Linked DNA regions of Cricetulus griseus. The protein of the gene in region 1 binds, or shares a complex with, the protein of each later gene. Links are inferred from orthologs where the notes say so. Each region holds a gene or a part of one and is shown in the gene's direction. Other genes may lie near its edges.

Region 1 (4,227 bases):
GGGTCTGCATTGGCCCTCTTGAGTGCCCTCTAGAAACAGGTGTGTCAAGGGCAATGGGTAGGGCTGCAGGAGAAATGAGCACACTTCTGTATCCCTGGGCAAGGACTGCCTTCCAAATTCTGAATTCCCAAATTCCTTTGACTTTCCTGTCTCAGTATTCTCCTGCCAGGTTCCAGCAAGCATTTAAGGCCCCTTTATGCATTCCCCTGCTCTGAGAGCCTCCTTGGATAATATAAGCTGGGGCTGTATCCTGTGTTGCACTCACCATCCTGTTTAGGGATGGAGAGGTGCTGTCCATTCCAGATTCCATTGAACTTTGATTGCACAGGGACAAGGAAGGCATCTTGGACACCCAGAGCTAATCAGCTTGTCACAGGATGTCCAAGTCTAGCACCAAGGTGGAGAGATAACTGGTCAAAGAAAAGCACGTGAGAGAGGCTGTGCTGGTGTTAGCAGTTATTGTACTGGGATTCTGTACTTTCCCGGGTCACCTTAAATGGGCAGAGCCAGGAACCAGTGAAAAGAGTGACAATGGAGCGTCTAGACTCCTTCTGGGGAGCGAGAGCGCAATTTGTTCAGAAAGGCACTGGCCCTTTGGGGAGTTCCCTTGGGGAGCCCCGAGCTCCGTTCTGTAGAGGCTGCAGGCGCGAAGACATTATCCTTTAAGGTCAAGCGTTCCGGAAGTCGCGGCTAGGGGTGCCTGGCCTCAATCATCCAGATGCCTAAAGCCGAGACCAAAGGCTCCCAAAAGTGGGACCCCAGGGCCAGGGATGCACCCAACGTAGTCAGGGAGCAACTTCTAAAATCCTGCTCCGGGAGTTCCCCAAACTTGGCTTCAGCTGCTCCTAGCCCTGGGCCCAGACCTAGCTCCAGGATGGACCCGATTCTCGTGGCAGCTTCGCCTTTCCTACTCAGCCCAAATCTCTTCGGCTATTGAAATGCAAATCCTGGCCAAAAGGTCCCGAGGGAGGCGACACACAAAGCCTGATCCTTCCGCATCCCCAGCTCAAACTTTTGGTCTCTGTAAACTTTCGAACAAGAAGTAGTCCCTAAGTGCCTGTTCTCTACACCCCTGCATGTTTCCTTGTCTTGCAAACCACAGGGTCCTGGCTTGGGACGCTCTCTCTAGCCCGAGAAGGCGCAGAGCCCACCAGGGCGCTGGGAGGGACAGGGCCAACGAAGGGGCTTTGAGTGCTCAAAAACCGGGGGCGGAGCGCGGTGGGATGGGCGGGGCAGGGGCGGGCCCCCACGGGGGCGGAGCGCACGGCCGCCCTGAGCCTCACTAGTGCCTCGGCCGCGGGAGGGAGCGCAGGGGCGTGGGGCGCAGGGCGCGGGCGCTAGGCGCGGGTGCGAGCGCAGTGAAGGAACGACCCGGGGTGCCTCGTAGCGCTGGGGAGACCCTGAGAGCCCAGCGCCGCCCACCTGCCAGGAAGGAGAGGGCAGCAGTAGGTGGACGCCCGCGGGACCGCCGGTGGTGAGCGTAAACGTCCGATCCCCGCCGGCCACCGCAAGAGGCCGCCGCCCGGGCAGCGGGCAGCGGGCGAGCAGGCATGCCGCGGCTTCTGGCGCCCTTGCTCTGCCTAACGCTGCTGCCCGCGCTCGCCGCAAGAGGTAGGCGCCTGCGAGCCCGCAACTTCGCGCGCCCTTCGGAAACTTCGGCTGCGCCTTGCGCGCGCCCTGGGTGGATGGGAGTGAGGGCACCAGCTACCAAAGTTGGGAGAAGGAGCCGGCGGACGGGACTTGGGGGCCTGGCGTCCTCGCGTGTGAGGGAGATCCTTCTCCTCAGCCCCCCTTCCGGGTGGATTCGCTTTACCCAGAACGCCCGAAAATGTTGGAAGCTCGGTGTGGAGCTTGGGACTTCGGGGCCCCGGGAGGCTCAACCCTGGCTCGCACTTGGGCAGCCGCGCCTGGGGCTCGCCGCGGGGGCGGACAGGCTGCCTGCGCCTGCTACTTTTCGATTTGAATCGAATCGGTTTTGGTTTCCTGTTGCTTCTTGGGACTATTATTTTCTTTCTTCTTCGCCTCTGGTCTGTGCTTGGGCGGATGTTGGGGCTCTGTGTTCGCCTTGCTTAGCGCGAGGTGGGGGCGATGTGCCCTGGACTCCCAGTGCCCAGTTTCGGGATCGCTGTCCCCTAGCGGTACTCAAACTTTCAAAGAGGGGCTATGGGCAGGCGGCTTGCTGCTTAGGGTTGGGGTGGGACTCACTCACTTTGGAAGTTTGAGACTCCTGCTCAGGCAGAGACTGGAACCTGCGGGGAGGGCCGGGGGGCCGGGGGGCCGGGGGGCCGGGGGACCGCCTATTTCCTTGCAGGATTCACAGAAAGGGGGACTCCTGAGGAGTCTCGTAGTGACCAACTGCACCCGTCTCCCAGTAATTGGAGGGGAGAAGTGCCTGCCCTTCTCTTAAAAGTGGGTTTTATGTGACACTCCAGCTCGGCCCTCACACCAGGGCTTAATTTCTGGAGCTCCTTAAGATGGGGGTGGGAGGGGCTTGATTAAGAGCCCTTTCCTGAGAAGAGGGTAGAATTCCTTCCAAGTGCGGGCTCTAAGACCCCCTCCCTGGGTGCGGCGGGGGCTGCCCCTGGAGATGCCTGCGAACAGGTATTGGGTGTCGGAGGAGGCGGGGCAGGTCTCCGGGTGCGGCCCCGCTGCCCCAGGAGGCGGCCCTGGCGCGACAATGGGCCGCTCTGATTCCCGGGCCGGCGCTTTGTTGGAGGGCGGGGTGGCGGGCTCCGCAGCTGTCGCTTTTTCCCACGATCGGGGGAGCTGAGTGTGGCCGCCCCCTCCCTCCTGCAGCCCCCTCGTATCTTGTGTTTGAACTGAGGCAAGGGTGGGAGACTGATCGGGGGCTTTGCTGGGTTTCTTAATCCACACCCACTTTTGGCTGTGTATGTAAGAAGTTTAGAATGTCCCAAGTCATTCAGTTCTTTCTGTTGCGGTCCACTTCTAGTGAGTGGGGATGTACACCTGCCTCCTACCCAGCTTATTATCCCTCTTCCACCCATTTCTGACTGCAACAGTGCGAGCAGAACATTGATCCCCGAAGGGCTGCCCATTGTCACCACCCCCGCCTGGCGACTTCCAGTAACTCTAGTACACAAGCACCAAGGCAGTAGTCTTCATCCACCATCAGGACCACAAGGAGTCAGCTGCTCAGAACCCAGACTGACCTCTCTTCTGACCCTTCCCTAGGCTTGAGATGCTCCCAGCCAAGTGGGACCTGCCTGAATGGAGGGAGGTGCGAAGTGGCCAACGGCACCGAAGCCTGTGTGTGAGTACCGCCCCCGAGGGGACCTGTTGCTTTTGTCAGAGCAGAGCCCCTGCCTTCTGGGGACAGAACACTGGGCCATTGTCTTCAGAAGACAGCCCAGAGGCTGAGTGCAGTCACGTGCTGACTTTTATTGGACAAAGTCTGGCAATTACTTAATCACCAGCAATTATGCCTCGTGTGGAGCTACTCTGGCCCCTGGAGGTTGGCACACTCCTCCATGGGCCCCCTCAGGCTCCTGGGAATCCATGGTACCCTAATTCTTATTTAAAATGCTTGAGAAACCGTTGTCTTTGATGGGCAGTCTGGAGCACTTACTGAGAGTTTGAGCCCCACCCCCTGACACCTGGGAGCCCTCTTCTGGGCAGGAGACCAATAAGCAGGAAGTTGCCCCTTTTTTGTTGTTTTGTTTGTTTGTTTCTAGTTTTTGCTTTCTTGGGACAGGGTCTCACTATGTGACTCTGGCAGCCCTGGCATTCACTATGCAGAGACCTTTGACTCAAGAGATCTGCCTGTCTCTGCCTTCCAAGTGGGAATGCCACCACTAGCTGGTGGGAAGTGTCTGTTTTAAGATGAGACCCACCCCTCCTTTCTCCTTGGGTTCAAGGTGAGGTTGGGAGAGTTGGAACGGTGCTTGTTGGCACTGCTGCCTGGGTGGTGGGTGTGGGTAAGCACTGGAGTCTGGTTTCTCTCTTGGCAGCTGCAGCACCACCTCCCGACTCTATGCCAGAGGTCCTCAGCCTCAGGTCCTCAGCTGTGAAATGGGCGTGACTTGGGGGGGTGGGAAGGTCTGTTCCTTGCTGGGAAATCCTTTTGGGAAGGATCCCTGCCTGGCTGCCCACAAAGACCAGTCAGCCAGGAGAAGTCTCCACTGGGGCTGGAGCTAGGGCTAGGGCTAGGGCTAGTGCCCTTCAACTTGAGCTCCTCCCTGATGAGACTAGCAAGGTGCTGGAGGCTAA
Region 2 (3,643 bases), about 79 Mb from region 1:
AGAAGGACAACCTAATCCCTGCTGCCCAGCTCAAGAACACAAACCAGAAGAAGGAGTTAGAAGTGGACTGTGGCCTGGACAAGTCCAATTGTGGCAAACCGCAGAACCACACATTGGATTATAATCTGGCTCCAGGACCCCTCGGGCGGGGAGCCATGTCTGGGAAGTATCTTCACAGTGACAAGAGCTTAGGAGAGAAGGTGCCACTTCGGTTACACAGGTAAGCCATACTTGGAAGCCAGGGCGTGTCTATGGACCCTTACATAGTTTGACTGTGTCTCCCAGGCTGAGTGGGAGACTGTCATCAGGCCCTGACTGCTTTTAAACAGTAGGGATGTGGTACGAACAACAAGGCATCCCAGCTGCATTTCTGTAGGGAGTCAGGCACATACTTGTAGTCCTAATTACTTAGGCTGAGGCAGGATGATGGCAAGTTAGATGCCATCCTGGTTAACACCGCACAGCATGTCTCAAAAACAAAACGAAACAGCTCAGAAGGTAAATGTGCACACTACCAAGACTGAAGACCTGAGTTTGATCCCTAGGACCCATGTGTTAGAAGAGGAGAACAGATTTCTGAAAGCTGCCCTCTGACTTCCACAATGGTGCGGTGACAGGCACATATGCACACACATGTGTATACACACACACGTGTACACACACATGTGTACACACACACACACACAACGATTTAATTTTTTGTTTTGTTTTGTTTTTTTGTTTTTTGAAACAGGGTTTCTCTGTGACTTTGGAGGCTGTCCTGGACCTTGCTCTTGTAGACCAGGCTGGTGTCAAACTCACAGAGATCCACCTGCCTCTGCCTCCTGAGTGCTGGGATTAAAGGCATGCACTACCACTGCCCGGCCAATTTAATAATTTTTTAAGAATTCTTCTAGGGAATTTTTATTTTTAAAATGGGGTTTCTCTGTAGAAACCCCAGGGCTGTCCTGGAACTTACTCTGTAGACCAGGTTGGCCTTAAACTCAGAGATCCACTTGCCTCTGTCTCCCGAGTGCTGGGAATAAAGGTGTGTGCCACCACCGCCCAGATTCTTCTAGGGATCCATTACTAGAAGCCCTCTCGCTCATTCATTCATTCTTCACTCCCAAATACCAACTGTCTACAGGGTATCTCTTGTGACTTCCATCTTTCTACAGTATGGCTTCTCTCTAGTGGCAATATTCGCTTTTTCTAGTGGCCACATGACTTTTCTGGTTTGGTTGAGTCTGGTGGCTCTCTTAAGGGGCCTGTTCTGAAGGTCAGCATTGAGCATCCCCGGCCTACATCATTCTGAACCACTGCAGTACATACCCTTTAACTCTCTGGGATCTAGATTAGCACCTCATTGCATTTCCAGGCTCCCCTCCTCCCTCTTCCTCATTCTTACCTGCCTGTCTTGTGTTCCTTCAGTGAAAAGCCAGAGTGTCGAATATCAGCGATATGCTCCCCCAGGGACTCCATGTACCAGTCAGTGTGCTTGATATCAGAAGAGAGGAACGAATGTGTCATTGCCACAGAGGTGAGTTCTGGGCTGGCCTTCTCTGTCAGCATGTCCCCTCCTGCCTTGTGTGGATGGAAAAAAATGCCCTGCTTACCAGCAACCTCATGCCTGAAGGGGTGGGCTCTTAGGTCCCCTGCTGGCCTTATTGCCACAGAGGGTGTGAAACAAGAACTAGGTGGTATGCCTGACCTGGCAGCTGCACCAATGAAAGGGACAGAATTAAGGAGCCAGGGGAACCTCTGGTAGAGCTAGGAAGGACAGCCATGGTACTGGCTACCTTTCAGGAACTGTTTCCCACTTGCATTTGGGTGAAGACAGTTGATTGTGTCTACCTGTTCCTTGTCACTGGCTTCCTCCAATGTATTCCCACATTAGTGCAAACTCCCAGACACTTGTTGTCTTAGGGAAGAAGACTAAGGGGACTGCCCCTCCCTCAGTGACTTCTCCCAGAGAGGCCCAAAGCATTCCGGAGACAGTGCCTATCCCCAAGATGACCATTTCCCCATTTTGTTTGTGCTCCCCAGGTATAAGGCACGAGCCTACCCAGACACCCAGCTTCGGCCCAGCAGCTGGGTCTTCCTTCTGCATTGTTTACATTGCATCCTGGATGGGACGTCTTTAGTATGCACAGTGCTGCTCTGAGGAGGAGGAGGAGGAGGGAATGGCATGAACTGGACAGACTGTGAACCTGCCAAGAGTTGCACCACCTCTGCATGCCTTCAGGAGTCTGCCTGGCTTCAGATGGGCAGCCCTACCAACAAGGGAGAGAGCTGAGGAACCAGAGGACATCAGTTGAGCTGATACCTAAGGTGCCACTTGGACTTGCTCTGCCAACAGTGGCCATCATGGGGCTCTTGACTGTTCTTCAGAGAGAAGTGGTGGCCCTAGTAGGTCTTGGAGCTGCTGTAGCTCCCATGGGCATCTGTGTTTCCAAAGTGCCTTTGCCCAGGCTCCATCATGACAGCTGGGTCCAAATGAGGGAGGAGAGATGAGGCTTGCAAGGAATGGGCCTCCTGTAGGCAGGAAAGCTTTGGAGTTTGGCTTTTGTTAGGAGCTACCCTGTATGTGACGTGAGAGAAGTGGTTCCTGCCCCCATCCACAGCATGGGGGGCGCCAGCTAGCCTGGACCCTCTGGGCAAAAGTTGGTAGATCGCCTCTCACTGGTCCTGGGGCCTCTGGGCTTGTGTGAACAGATGGGCTTAGGGCCTGCCTCTTTTGCCAGCTAGGGTTTCAGGCCTAACTGGGGAGCTGAGGGCCATCATGTTAAAATTCCACTGAGGGAGATAGCGGGTGCTGCTGTGGCCTAGGCCCTTTCCTCCCTGTGCCCATTTCTGTGCCCTTGAGCCTGGGCTCTATCAGTGCCCACTGCTGCCCCAGACCACCCTTGAAGCCGATCTTCAGAAATCAATAATATGAGGTGTTTTTTTGTAGTTTATTTTGGAATCTAGTATTTTGATAATTTAAGAATCAGAAGCACTGACCTTTCTACATTTTATAACATTATTTTGTATATAATGTGTATTTATAATATGGAATAGATTGTACAGGAATTTATTACTTCTTGGGTCCTGTCTTTGTAATGGTGGAGTGGGAATCTTTTCCCTGCCTTCCCACCCCAAATAGTCGGAAGCCCCAGCTCTTGAATGCCCTCCTGGACCCCCTCGGGCCTTCGCACACTTGGGTTTGGCATTTTGTATGGAAGGCCTGTGTCTCAGTCCGATCTTTGGAGAGCCTAACCTCATCCATCTCATCCCCAGCCTAGGCCAACCTTCCAAGCCTAGTGACTTTGAGACTGGGTGCCATTATCCCACTTTATGCTCCCACCATTCCATGGGGCTATCTTTCCCCTGACTGGAATCTCTCTCTACTTTCCCCCAAGTCTGAGAAGAAGAATGGGGGCCTTGATCTTCTCCTACTGAGGAGGACTCTCTCTCATTACTTATTCAAAAGGACTCTTATTAGATCAGGAGCTAAGTCCTGTTCCATCTGGGCACTTCCTCCTACACTAGCACCTGCTGTTTTCCCAGTACTAGTGTGGAACTGACCTGAAATGGAGATGGGTAGGGGCTTTGCCCTGGGCTTTGTCTTTCTCGAAGCTGGACAGAGATGAGGGGATGAATGAGTGAGGCTACAAGGAGTCGG
Region 3 (3,643 bases), on another chromosome or scaffold:
TGTGCCACTAGCCCAGCTTTTTGTGGCTTTGGGGACTGGAACTCAAGACAAACACTTTATCTTCTAAGCCATCTCTCAGCTGCCCCATTTTTTTCTTTATCACAGAGTACTTTCTCTCTAGACCTATTTCCTGTGTTGTAAGTGGTTTTTGCTGATTTCTCAAAAGTGTCTGGTCCCAATATGACTGTCACTACTGCCTTTGTTTTCATCGTCACTTCCCTCCTATTTTCACAGTCACTGACTGAAGTGTCCAGAGGGGGAATTGTAGTCAGTCAGCTTTGGTTAACTGTGAGGTTTCTATTGAATAGCCGCTTTGTTGGAGATGCTTGATGAGTCACATGGTATTTTCTAAGTGTTTGAGAGGAGTCAGACAGCACCGTACACATGGAGTTGCAATGAAGAAACTTAGATTGGAGGCTTTGTAAGTGGCCATGTAACAGAGGTGACCATGAGGAGGGAACAGGTGGTTTAAAACTTTTACCAAAAAATTTGTGAGCCAGAGTCAGCACTAAGGAGGAGGAAATGGAAGGACCACTGCATTTGAGGCCAACCTGATCTATGGAGTAAGTTCTAGGCCAGCCAGAGTTATACATCAAGGTCCTTTCTCAAAACAACAGTAGCAGCAGCACCAACAGACAACCCTCCCACCAAGATGTGTGTGATTAGACTGCCTGCATTCTCCTGTTTTGCCCTGGTCCTCCTGATCAATGAACAGCCAGGGATTTATGGAACAGCCACCATGAGCTCAATGGGGACACCCACAATGTTAAGTGACACTAGATCATGCTTATTAAATAGCCATCAGACACTGTACATTTAAACTGTTGTGAGTGATTTTGTGTTGAAAATAAACCCGCAGGTAGAGTTAGGGATATCATTCCCCCCACTACCAGGAGATTGAGGCATACATTGGAGCACTCACGGTATTGAAGAGGAAGAGTCAGAATTCAGACTACTGTGATCAGCGCTATTTCCTGATTCTTACTCTCAAAATACCCCTGGGAAATAACTCAGAACTGGAAAAGCCGGGAAACACCAGGATGTAACAGCAGTTGAGCTTTGACTGAACTGATAATTCATAAGTAGGAGTATTATCTCTCCTCCCTAAAAAAAAAACCCTCCAGAATTTTCAGGAACTGAAACACTTGACCTTTAATATGATTATAAATTCTGGGATTCAAAGGGTCTACTTTTTTTTTTTTTTTTTTTTTTTTTTTTGCCACGGGGTTTCAAAAAAAAAAAAAACAACTCTGTAGCCATGGGTGTCTCTTAGAACTCACCAAGTGCTGGGATTAAAGGTGTGCACCATCCCAACCCAGCAGATCTGTTACTTTTTTTTTTTTTTTTTTTTTTTTTTAGTTCAAATTAGAAAAAGCTTGCTTCACATGTCAATCCCTTCTTCCTCTTCCTCCCCTCCCCCAACTCCCCACTGTTACTTTTTTTTGTTGTTATTTTTTTTCTAGACATAGTTTCTCTGTGTAACTTTGGCGTCTGTCCTGGAACTTGCTTTGTAGACCAGGCTGGCCTTGAACTCACAGAGATCTGCCTGCCTTTCTTTGCCTCCTGAGTGCTGGGATTAAAGGTATGCACCACCCCAATCAAGTGGATGTGTTACTTTTTACCCCTGGTAATTCTTGCCTAAATGTCTGCAGTCTAGGCATAAGAGGTGATTTTTGTGTGTGTTGCTGGGTATTGTACTCTGAGCTTCATCTGTGATAGTAAGTGCTCTGTCATGGAGCTGTATTCCCAGACCTGGGACCTAGACCTTGCAGACCAATACAGTATTTCTCTAGCACCATGAAGGCTTTTGTCCCAGTTCTATATAATGAATGCAGCCAGTTGCTTCTCATTCTCTTTCAAGACTTACTCAGATTGCTTTTCTGTTTCTGTTAAAGACGTCAGAGTACCATGATATCATGTATCCTGCGTGGACATTTTGGGAAGGGGGCCCTGCCGTGTGGCCACTTTATCCTACGGGTCTTGGACGGTGGGACCTCTTCAGAGAAGATCTGCTAAGGTAGGTTCTTTGGAGCGGTTTCGTTTTTCCCTGTCTGTGAGTTTTGTTTTGTTTTGTTTTGTTTTGTTTTGTTTTGTTTTGAAGTAAGCTGCAGTAGATAGTTAAGAATGTAAGATCACTGCCTGAGCTGGGGAGATGGCTCAGTTGGTAAGAGTGCTAGCTGTGCAGTGAGGATGTGAGCCTGGATACGGAGCATCCATATAAAATTCAGGCACGGTTGTATATAGGGAGACAAGGAGATGTTCAAGTTGGACACCCTTTCCACATGACTTTAGGGCTTAGCCGGAATAGACATAGTTAGGATGTGCAATAGCAGATTATTGTATCTTCTTGTATTTCACCTTTATGATTGTTAATTTTGGATGTTTTACACTATTAAGTTTTAATCCTCTTTTAGACTAAAAGGGGAATTATAGGGAGACACTGTAGCCCCACCTCCTAGGAACCGCTACAGGTGTGCTTGGCTATGCCCGCGAGGGCATGGTCAGGGGAGGTTAAAGATGACTCGTGGGGAATTCTTAAGGAAAGGACAGACGTGGGAATGGTCTCTTTTCTGGGCTCCCTAGCCTGCTGCCTGAGGGTACTCTCTCCAGCTTGTGTTTATCTGAATAAAGACATCCATATACCAATAGTTGTATGCACCTGTAACCCCAGTGTTCTTGGGGTCAGAGACAGATGGATCCTGGGAGCTTACTGGCCAGCTAGCCTAGCAAAAATGGTGAGAGACCTGTCAGTGAAAGACCTGTCTCAAGGGACTAAAATAAAGACCAACATCTCATGTCTTCTTCTGGCTCCAATATATACTCACACTGGTGACTGCACATGCGTGCACACGCGTACACACATACTATTAAAGTCAGGAGAATGTTGCATAGCAAAAGCAGTTCTGTGTGTTTCTGTGTGTGAATAATAATCCGTGTTGGGCCTAAGGATAGAGCTCAGTTGGTAGAACAGTTGCCTAGCAGGTGTGAAGCCCAGGGTTTGACACCCAGCACTGCATAAACTGGTCCTGGTGGCTCATGCCTGTAATCTCAGCCCTGGGGAAGTGGAGGTAGAATCACAAGTTCAAGGCTAACCTCAACTATGTGGTGAGTTTGAGGACAGCCTGAAAATCCTAAGCCCCTGTCTCAAAATTTAAAAATCCCTGTCAAAAAGGTCAGAAGACTTCATCCTAAATTGTCAGCAGTGCCTCCAAGGGAAGGGCTCTAAGAGTCTTTAAGTTTTTTTAAGATCATTTTTTATTTCATTTGTTTGTGGTTTGCATATGTATCACATGCACACTAGGGGCTTCCTAGTTAGAAGAGGACATCAAATGCTCTGGAACTAAGAGCTGCCATGTGAGCACTGGGAACTAACCCAGGTTCTCTTTAAGAGCACCAAGTACTCTTGACCACTGAGCCATCTCTCCAGCACCATTTTCTCTAAAATGTTCATATTTTAAATATTCCCCAAGAGAGAATTAACTCCTTTTTTGAACACAGGATCTCACTCAGTATACCATCCTGGCCTGGAACTTGTTATGTAGTTCCCAGGCCAGCCTCAAACTCAAGCAATCCTCCTGTTTGACTCTCTCAAGTGCTGGGATTACAGGCATGAGCCACCATACTCCACTATGCATCATTATCA

Evidence for each region.
Region 2: the proteins of Notch1 (region 1) and Dll4 are in contact, whole or in part, in a crystal structure (PDB 4XLW), measured with the Rattus norvegicus proteins. The link is inferred for Cricetulus griseus from reciprocal best matches to the Homo sapiens genes NOTCH1 and DLL4. Residues at the interface, in NP_001099191.1 of Rattus norvegicus: Glu415, Leu418, Ala420, Asn421, Pro422, Glu424, His425, Phe436, Pro447, Arg448, Glu450, Ile451, Asp452, Leu468, Asp469, Gln470, Ile471, Ile477; in XP_006234827.1 of Rattus norvegicus: His65, Thr76, Phe77, Asn109, Phe110, Thr111, Pro113, Tyr180, Ser186, Arg187, Leu188, Lys190, Arg192, His195, Phe196, Tyr199, Lys216, Tyr217, Asp219.
Region 3: the proteins of Notch1 (region 1) and Poglut1 are in contact, whole or in part, in a crystal structure (PDB 5UB5), measured with the Homo sapiens proteins. The link is inferred for Cricetulus griseus from reciprocal best matches to the Homo sapiens genes NOTCH1 and POGLUT1. Residues at the interface, in NP_060087.3 of Homo sapiens: Asn454, Glu455, Cys456, Val457, Asn459, Pro460, Cys461, Gln462, Asn463, Asp464, Ala465, Cys467, Gly472, Glu473, Phe474, Val485, His486; in NP_689518.1 of Homo sapiens: Met103, Phe104, Pro105, Ser106, Arg107, Asp133, Gly170, Pro171, Ala172, Val173, Trp174, Pro178, Thr179, Gly180, Thr214, Asn239, Gln240, Ala241, Val274.

What each region holds. Positions count from the first base shown.
Region 1 is NC_048599.1:137,892,537-137,896,763, reverse strand, and holds the start of Notch1 (neurogenic locus notch homolog protein 1), read left to right. Parts: upstream 1-1,298; 5' UTR 1,299-1,550; coding exon 1,551-1,611; intron 1,612-3,192; coding exon 3,193-3,271; intron 3,272-4,227. UniProt on the Homo sapiens protein: Functions as a receptor for membrane-bound ligands Jagged-1 (JAG1), Jagged-2 (JAG2) and Delta-1 (DLL1) to regulate cell-fate determination.
Region 2 is NC_048599.1:59,141,236-59,144,878, reverse strand, and holds part of Dll4 (delta-like protein 4), read left to right. Parts: coding exon 1-220; intron 221-1,410; coding exon 1,411-1,519; intron 1,520-3,643. UniProt on the Homo sapiens protein: Involved in the Notch signaling pathway as Notch ligand. Activates NOTCH1 and NOTCH4. Involved in angiogenesis; negatively regulates endothelial cell proliferation and migration and angiogenic sprouting. Essential for retinal progenitor proliferation.
Region 3 is NC_048597.1:51,600,956-51,604,598, forward strand, and holds part of Poglut1 (protein O-glucosyltransferase 1), read left to right. Parts: intron 1-1,895; coding exon 1,896-2,017; intron 2,018-3,643. UniProt on the Homo sapiens protein: Dual specificity glycosyltransferase that catalyzes the transfer of glucose and xylose from UDP-glucose and UDP-xylose, respectively, to a serine residue found in the consensus sequence of C-X-S-X-P-C.